Linked DNA regions of Ovis aries. The protein of the gene in region 1 purifies or fractionates together with the protein of each later gene. This does not show direct contact. Links are inferred from orthologs where the notes say so. Each region holds a gene or a part of one and is shown in the gene's direction. Other genes may lie near its edges.

Evidence for each region. The genes of interacting proteins can lie anywhere in the genome.
Region 2: the proteins of LGALS3BP (region 1) and MYCBP2 purify together in Homo sapiens (co-immunoprecipitation; 3 studies listed by BioGRID and IntAct, counting the BioPlex papers as one, with this or other methods). This does not show direct contact. The link is inferred for Ovis aries from reciprocal best matches to the Homo sapiens genes LGALS3BP and MYCBP2.

Annotation. Positions count from the first base shown.
Region 1 is NC_056064.1:52,754,990-52,758,736, forward strand, and holds the start of LGALS3BP (galectin-3-binding protein), read left to right. Parts: upstream 1-1,042; 5' UTR 1,043-1,203; intron 1,204-3,747.
Region 2 is NC_056063.1:52,791,250-52,794,896, reverse strand, and holds part of MYCBP2 (E3 ubiquitin-protein ligase MYCBP2), read left to right. Parts: intron 1-835; coding exon 836-996; intron 997-2,008; coding exon 2,009-2,165; intron 2,166-2,345; coding exon 2,346-2,570; intron 2,571-3,647. UniProt on the Homo sapiens protein: Atypical E3 ubiquitin-protein ligase which specifically mediates ubiquitination of threonine and serine residues on target proteins, instead of ubiquitinating lysine residues.

The DNA of each region.
Region 1 (3,747 bases):
CCTGGCTGTACATAGAACCACCTGCAAGGCTTTAAGGCCAACGCCTGTCCCCACCCCAGAGATTGTGGATCTGGACGCTGGGAGTTTGTGAGACTCCTGGGTGATTCTCAGGAGCCGACCATGGTGACAGCCAGCAGGTTAGAGAGACCTGGGGACATTCCTAGGGGATAACTCTCGTCCAGAACCTGGGATGCAAAAGACAGAAGCAAAATAGGATGTTGACGCCTCATCTGGCCTTGAAGCCAGGGCTTGGCCTTGAGTTCAGGCCAGGGGGACACAGGTGCTCAAACCATAGCATCAGGACCTAGGTTCCTCCCTCTCTCAGCTCTGCCCTCACCTGCATCCTCAGCTGGGCTTTCCTCAGGGCACAGTCGGGGGCACCAGGGGCATCAGCGCCTCCAGGCCGCCTGCTCCCTACAGGGTCTCCTTCCAGCAGTCTAAAACTGACCCCTCAGAGGGCTGGGATCACAACACCTCCCTGACACCATTGTCTCCAACCTGCCAGACTCAGGCCAGATCCAGAGTGCTTCCCCAGGGGAAATCGAGGTGCAGGCTCTCTGTCAGAGGGAAGGAAAGGGAGTGGGTGTGGGAGGGGCAGAACAAAGTCCACCCCAGAGGCTCTGCCCCTGCCCCAGAGGGATGAGATGTTCAGGCCAGGCATGTCAAGTGCTTAGAGCCGAGCGAGCAGCCCCCCTACCGCTGCCCCCAGCAACATGTGAGACCCAGGAGACGGGCATGGGCGTGCAGTGAAAGAGCCCAGGGTCCCTGGATGCAGACAGAACCTGTCCACGCCCATCCTCTGCTCTTCTGACCGCTGACGCCTGCTGCCCTTCCTCTCCCTTCCCCCAGCACCCACCCCTGGCGCCGCTGCCTTGCTCTGTAACCAGAGCAGAATCAGCCAGACTGCAGCCTTGGGCGGCTGCCATCCTCCCCACCGCCATCCCAGCCGCCCCCAGTCAGAGCCAAGGGCGGGGAGGGGAGCAGGAAGCCTTGGCAGCAGCCAACCCCAGAAGGAAACAGGGTCAGGTGGTTTCTCGAAATCGAAACTAGACTGAGCTTTCTGAAGCACTTCCTGGGACCAACCTGACACACTCTGTACTGGGAGGGTTTTTTTGGGCTGGACGTTCCTTTGCAAGTGGGAGGCCTTAGGACAGCCATCTGCAGGTGCCCCAGGCAGGTAAGCTGGTAACCTCTTGCTCTCAGGTGGGTGTCCCTCTCTTTATACAGTATAATCTTACAGTGGCCAAGTCTCCCTGCCTGTGCTCAGTTAGGGATCTGATGCTCCTCCTGAAACTAGGGACCATCACTGCTGCTCCTGTGTCTCTCTGTCCATTTGGGCAGGTTGTTCACTGGTGCACAAGGAGACCACCCAAAGGGGCAAGCAGTTCAGCCGAGGCGCTCTCTCCGATCAGTGCTTTTCAGCTCAGGCTGTTGCTGCTGCTGCTGCTGATAAGCAGCTTCAGTCGTGTCCAACTCTGTGCGACCCCACAGACGGCAGCCCACCAGGCTCCCCTGTCCCTGGGATTCTCCAGGCAAGAACACTGGAGTGGGTTACCATTTCCTTCTCCAATGCATGAAAGTGAAAAGTGAAAGTGAAGTCACTCAGTCATGTCTGACTCCTAGCGACCCCATGGACTGCAGCCTATCAGGCTCCTCCATCCATGGGATTTTCCAGGCAAGAGTACTGGAGTGGGTTGCCATTTCAGCTCAGGCTGCACCTTTCCCCAATTTGCGCAAGAGTGTGGAATGGCCCCAGGCAGACAATTCTGCCCCATCTCTCCAATGAGTCAGGCAAAAATGGGTGGCCAGAGCCAGCCGGAGGGGCAGTGACATTTGCATACCATGAGCCAAGTGCCTGATTGGCCATCTGCCTGGGACCCTGGGTTCGTGTCTCAGGGTGAGCAAAGCTGGTGGCCGCCACTCTCTGGAGAGTGCAGAGGGTGACCAGCTGTCCCCATGTGCCTAGGACCAAGGGTATGTCCAAGGACATGGGACTTCCAGTGCGAAAACCAGGACAGTTGGTGTGCTGGGTGGTTGGTCATCCTGGCCACTCGGCCATCAGTGTAATGAAGAGAGGGTGGCTGCTGGGCAGATTCCCCCATGGCCACTCACCACCCACAGCTCCCCAGCTGTGTGAGCAGAGCTGGCTACCCTTCCGGGCTTTAGCCCCCTCACTTGAAGGTGGGATCAACAAGGTCTTTCTCAAGGTCGTGGTCAGGATTCCATGAGCCAGTGGTGTGAGCAGTCTGGTCCAGGGACTGTGTTCAGTGTCGGCAGACCCTCGTGCCTGGGAGCCCCCGGAGGGTCTGGTTACCAGGCCCTGACTCGAGGGGTGCAACAACAGCAGCCACAGCCCTGCTGGCTGGGCCCTGAGGCGGGGCGTGGGTGTCGCAAGGCCCTCTCTGGGCCAGAGCAGCAGGGCTCTCTGCACCCCCTCCATGCCCCTCTTCCCACCTCACTGTGCTGGTATGCGGACATGAAGGGAGGGAGGCAGGTGAGGGGCAGGATGTGGGCGAAGAGAAAAAGGGAGCTGTGAGAGTTACAGAGGCAAGACCCCCGGCAAAAGCGGAGAGACTTGGGTCCCCCCTGCTCCCCTTCCCCGGGGCTGGCTGTGTGGCCTTGGTGGTCCCCCACCTCCTCCAGCCTCTGTTTCTTGGGGACACTGACCTCGTGGCAGTGCCAGGCCAGGAGTGTCCTCTCATCTCGTTCCCCTCCCCCAGTCTCCCCCCAGCCCCACCCAGCTGCCCAGGCAGAGGCCTGGCTCTTAGCCCTCAGCCCTCTCCCCGGCCCGCCCAGCGCCCACCCCCAGCCCAGTCTCTCCACTGCTCTCCGTCCATTGTCACCCCTTCGCGGGTTTCTGTGGCCTCCTCCTGACACGTCTCCCCACCCTACCCACCCTCGTCCCCCTCCCTCCCAACCCTACCCACCCTCGTCCCCCTCCCTCCCAGCCCTACCCACCCTCGTCCCCCTCCCTCCCAGCCCTACCCACCCTCGTCCCCCTCCCTCCCAGCCCTACCCACCCTCGTCCCCCTCCCTCCCAGCCCTACCCACCCTCGTCCCCCTCCCTCCCAACCCTACCCACCCTCGTCCCCCTCCCTCCCCACCCTGCCCACCCTCGTCCCCCTCCCTCCCCACCCTGCCCACCCTCGTCCCCCTCCCTCCCCACCCTGCCCACCCTCGTCCCCCTCCCTTCCAACCCTACCCACCCTCGTCCCCTCCCTCCCAGCCCTACCCACCCTCGTCCCCCTCCCTCCCAGCCCTACCCACCCTCGTCCCCCTCCCTTCCAGCCCTACCCACCGTCGTCCCCTCCCTTCCAACCCTACCCACCCTCGTCCCCTCCCTCCCCACCCTACCCACCCTCGTCCCCTCCCTCCCCACCCTACCCACCCTCGTCCCCCTCCCTTCCAGCCCTACCCACCCTCGTCCCCCTCCCTCCCAGCCCTACCCACCCTCGTCCCCCTCCCTCCCAACCCTACCCACCCTCGTCCCCCTCCCTTCCAGGTTCCACATGGTCCATTTCACGCAATGTTCTTTGGCAGCTGCAGACCTCAGGGTACTCTCGCAGGCTGGCCTGCCATCTGAGCCATCCCTGCCATCTCTCAGCCACCCTCAGCAGGCTCCCCCAGGCCCCCCCAATCTCGGCCCTGCACCCTCTGCCTCCTCCCTCCCCGCCCTTCCCACCCATGCCCCCTGACAGTCATGCCCAGGGCCTAGCTTTCTGATATGGGCACCTTTCCACCCCACCC
Region 2 (3,647 bases), on another chromosome or scaffold:
ACCTCTGTAGCTGTGATTTATGGATCTCATTTATATTTCTACAGTAAAAAAGTAGAAGACTAAATCCTCAATTTAAAAAAGCTGTCAGAATAGATAGAAAAAAACAAAAGCTCGGTACTGTTTATAAGCATTGTACCTTTTAAAACATTACGACAGAGGAAGATTAAAAGTAAAAGGTTAAAAGTAGAAAAAGATATACTGGATAAATACCAATCAGAATTGGGTTGCTACAGCTAGTTCAACATCAGATAAAACAGACTTCAGGATATAATTATCAATAGGGATAAGGAGGCTCTCTACAAAATGATAAAAAGAGTAATTCTGTATCTTCAGTGTATGCATGTAGTTAATAAAATAACCTCAAAGATATCAAATGAAAATCAATAGGGCTGCAAGGGAAAATTGAAAACAATCCACAATTACAATGTGACGTTATCACACATTCGTAAGAGCTGTCTGTTCCTGTGTAACAGATACCCCAAAACCTACTGAATGGAAACAGTTGCTTACTGGCTCCCAACTTTGTGGGCTAGCAGTTTGGGTGGTGCTCAGCTGAGGGGAAAGGCTCATTTCTGCTAGTAGATTAGTGAGTACACAGGAATTGATCCTCATATGTGGCATTTATTTGGTTTGGTGATTTTATTTATAGGTGACCTTATCATTTTTTCCTTTAAAAATGTAAGCATAACTAATCTTACTGGATGTTTGAGGTATGGTTTGGTTTTGTTGTTTACATTTCTACTACATCAGTATCGTTAAAGTACACATTTTCTTTTGTGGGAAAAATTCCTTCCAGCTCCCAAACTGATGAACTTGCCTGCCATTTCTGTCTTAGGAGAAAGATACGAGGGTATGTGAGCATCCGCTCTCAGATATAGTGATTGCAGGGGAAGCTGCTCATCCTTTACCACACACGTTTCACCGCCTACTTCAGACCATCTCCGATCTTATGATGTCTCTCCCCAGTGGCAGTTCATTACAGCAGATGGCCCTGAGGTAATCTTATTTCCAAGTGTCCTAAGTACCCTGGAAAAGTTTTCTGAAGCAGTCAGAGCATGAAATGCTTGAAAGATCTCTTTAAATACTTAAGGTAGAAAGAATCCTGTGTTATATGAATGACCTCCCTCATTATAGTTATAATTTAGAATTGCCCTTCACCTCAGCTCATGCCTGTTGGCCCCTCTGTAAATTGTGGATGGTATACTTCTGAGTCCTCTAAATTGTCACAGTCTGAAACCATCTTCCTCACTTTCCTTTCTCTGCTACCCCAAATCACATGTCTCAGTGCTCCTCAAGAGTAGAAACTTAAATGTTGCAAAAATGGAGAGGGCAATGAAATCTCAAAAACTGAATTCAAAATAGGGTTTTGAATTGAAAAGAATATCAAGAGAAATGCAGCCAATCCTGAAACTACATTGAAGAGTATCTCCTCCTTTTAAGTCCTCACCATTACTTTTACATTGTGAACTTTATCACTAGAACCTCATACTGGACTACACATACAAGTAAATCCTCCACTGATTTTTATAAGAAATAGGTTGACAGAGTGATTTTGTCTACCCACATTCCTAATGATGAGACCAGCAGAGAAGAGATTCTGTAGTGCAAGATTTTAGAAGTACAAAGTGTGTTATACTCTGATGAATTAGTGTAGAATTGTTGGACTAATAAATTTTAAGAGGCTGTTATAGTTGGGATAACACTTGTCTACAAAACTGATTACCTTTTTTGCTTTTATAGCTTTGATCTTCATGTGTCAGTTTGGCTGTATTTAAAATGGATGAACTTTCCTTAGAATTTACATTGTTCAACAGAAATGACGTATATTTCTCCAAAAGACAATAGAAATCATTTTGTTTCTTGAATTTTAAAAATTTCTAATATTGTTATTTTACCTACAGCATTAAGATTAGCTGCAGAGTGCTTTTTTTTTTTTTTTTTTTTTTTAAGGAATTCCTTAGAGGTTCCTGAAAAAGAATTATTTACTATATTACTTACACCTTTTTAGGTGCTGGAGTCTGAAATTCAAGCAGTCTGATCACCAGTTCCTCCATCAGAGCAATGTCTTTCATCACATTAACAATATTTTGTCAAAATCAGATGATGGAGACAGTGAAGAGAGTTTTAGCATCAGCATACAGTCTGGCTTTGAAGCTATGAGTCAGGTCAGTCATCTAACAGTTATCCTGTGTTATCCTGTTAATACTCAACAATGTACTGAAGGAGAAACTGAAAATTACTCCTAAACAACTTGATACTTACTTTTATTTCTATCTCATGTCTGTTTTACTGTTGTGGAAGATTTCCATCTGAGTGTTTCAATTATGTCTATTTGTTTCTGGTAGGAATTGTGCATAGTAATGTGCTTAAAGGACTTAACCAGCATTGTTGACATAAAAACTTCAAGCCGACCTGCCATGATTGGCAGTTTGACGGATGGTTCCACAGAAACCTTTTGGGAGTCAGGCGATGAGGATAAAAACAAAACAAAGAACATCACCATCAACTGTGTAAAAGGCATCAATGCCCGCTATGTATCTATTCATGTGGACAATTCCCGAGATCTTGGGGTAAGAAAGGAAACTTACCTGTGGCTTGTTAGTTCTTGTCAGACCTTTATTAATGATACAGTCTCATTTCTGAGTTTTAGCAAAAAGGCTTTCATCTGGAACTTCACCAACCAAACAACCTATTTATATTTTCAAAATAACTCAAGTCTAAAAACAGATTAATATGACTTGGGGCACTGTGGAATACCCATTTTAAGAAAGGCTCTGATTATAAATATATGAAATCTATAGCTAGGCAAAATAAATATCTACTCCATGATATTTTACCTCCATGCCCTTGTTCAAGTTATTTCCTTGGCCTGGAAGTCCTTCTCTTAAACTCTACCTTTCAGATTCTTCCCAAGTATAAGACCCAGCAGACAAATTCTCCCACAGTACCTCTTCTATAAAAGTTACTCTTTCTCTCCTCTGGATTCTTTTTTACCTTACTCTAGTGGCATTTAATGCAGTTTGACCTATAGCATAATTCGCCTTCAGTTTTTAATCCTTACCCGCACCATCAGAAGGGAGTTGGGGAAAATTCCTGTATTAACATATATAATCAGACTATATATTCCCCCTAGCTCTAGCCTGTCTACATGTTTCAACTGAATTGAGCACTCTTTAACAAAAAGCACTGGAGAAGAAAAAGCATCCTATTTACTTGAGTATTAAAAGCCAATAAGACTGTAAAACCAACTGCTAAATTCCCATGTTTCTATCCCATTCTTGAGAAAGAATACTTTCTAGAATTTTTTCCCTCAGAAAGGAAGTGGCCTGTAGGTACAGTGTTAATAAGTCCCCTTGGGCCATTGCCAAGCTGCTCCTGTCCCATTTGTATATTTCCTTTCCCTGGGAGAGCCAGAGTGGTGGGTTTGGGTCTCAGATGACCTGAATGGAGAATGCCGACCACAGAAGTTTAGTCTGCAGTCAGAGCATTCCCTGCTGTCTACAGTCACCCCACCTTCTGTCCGTCAGCACAGATTGAGTAAGAGAAAGGCTTAGCTACTCTATCACTACATCACTAGCTTATCACCTCTTCAGACCCAAGAGTTCAGTCGGTACAACTTTGTCTTACTTGAAAGTCAGGTATAATAA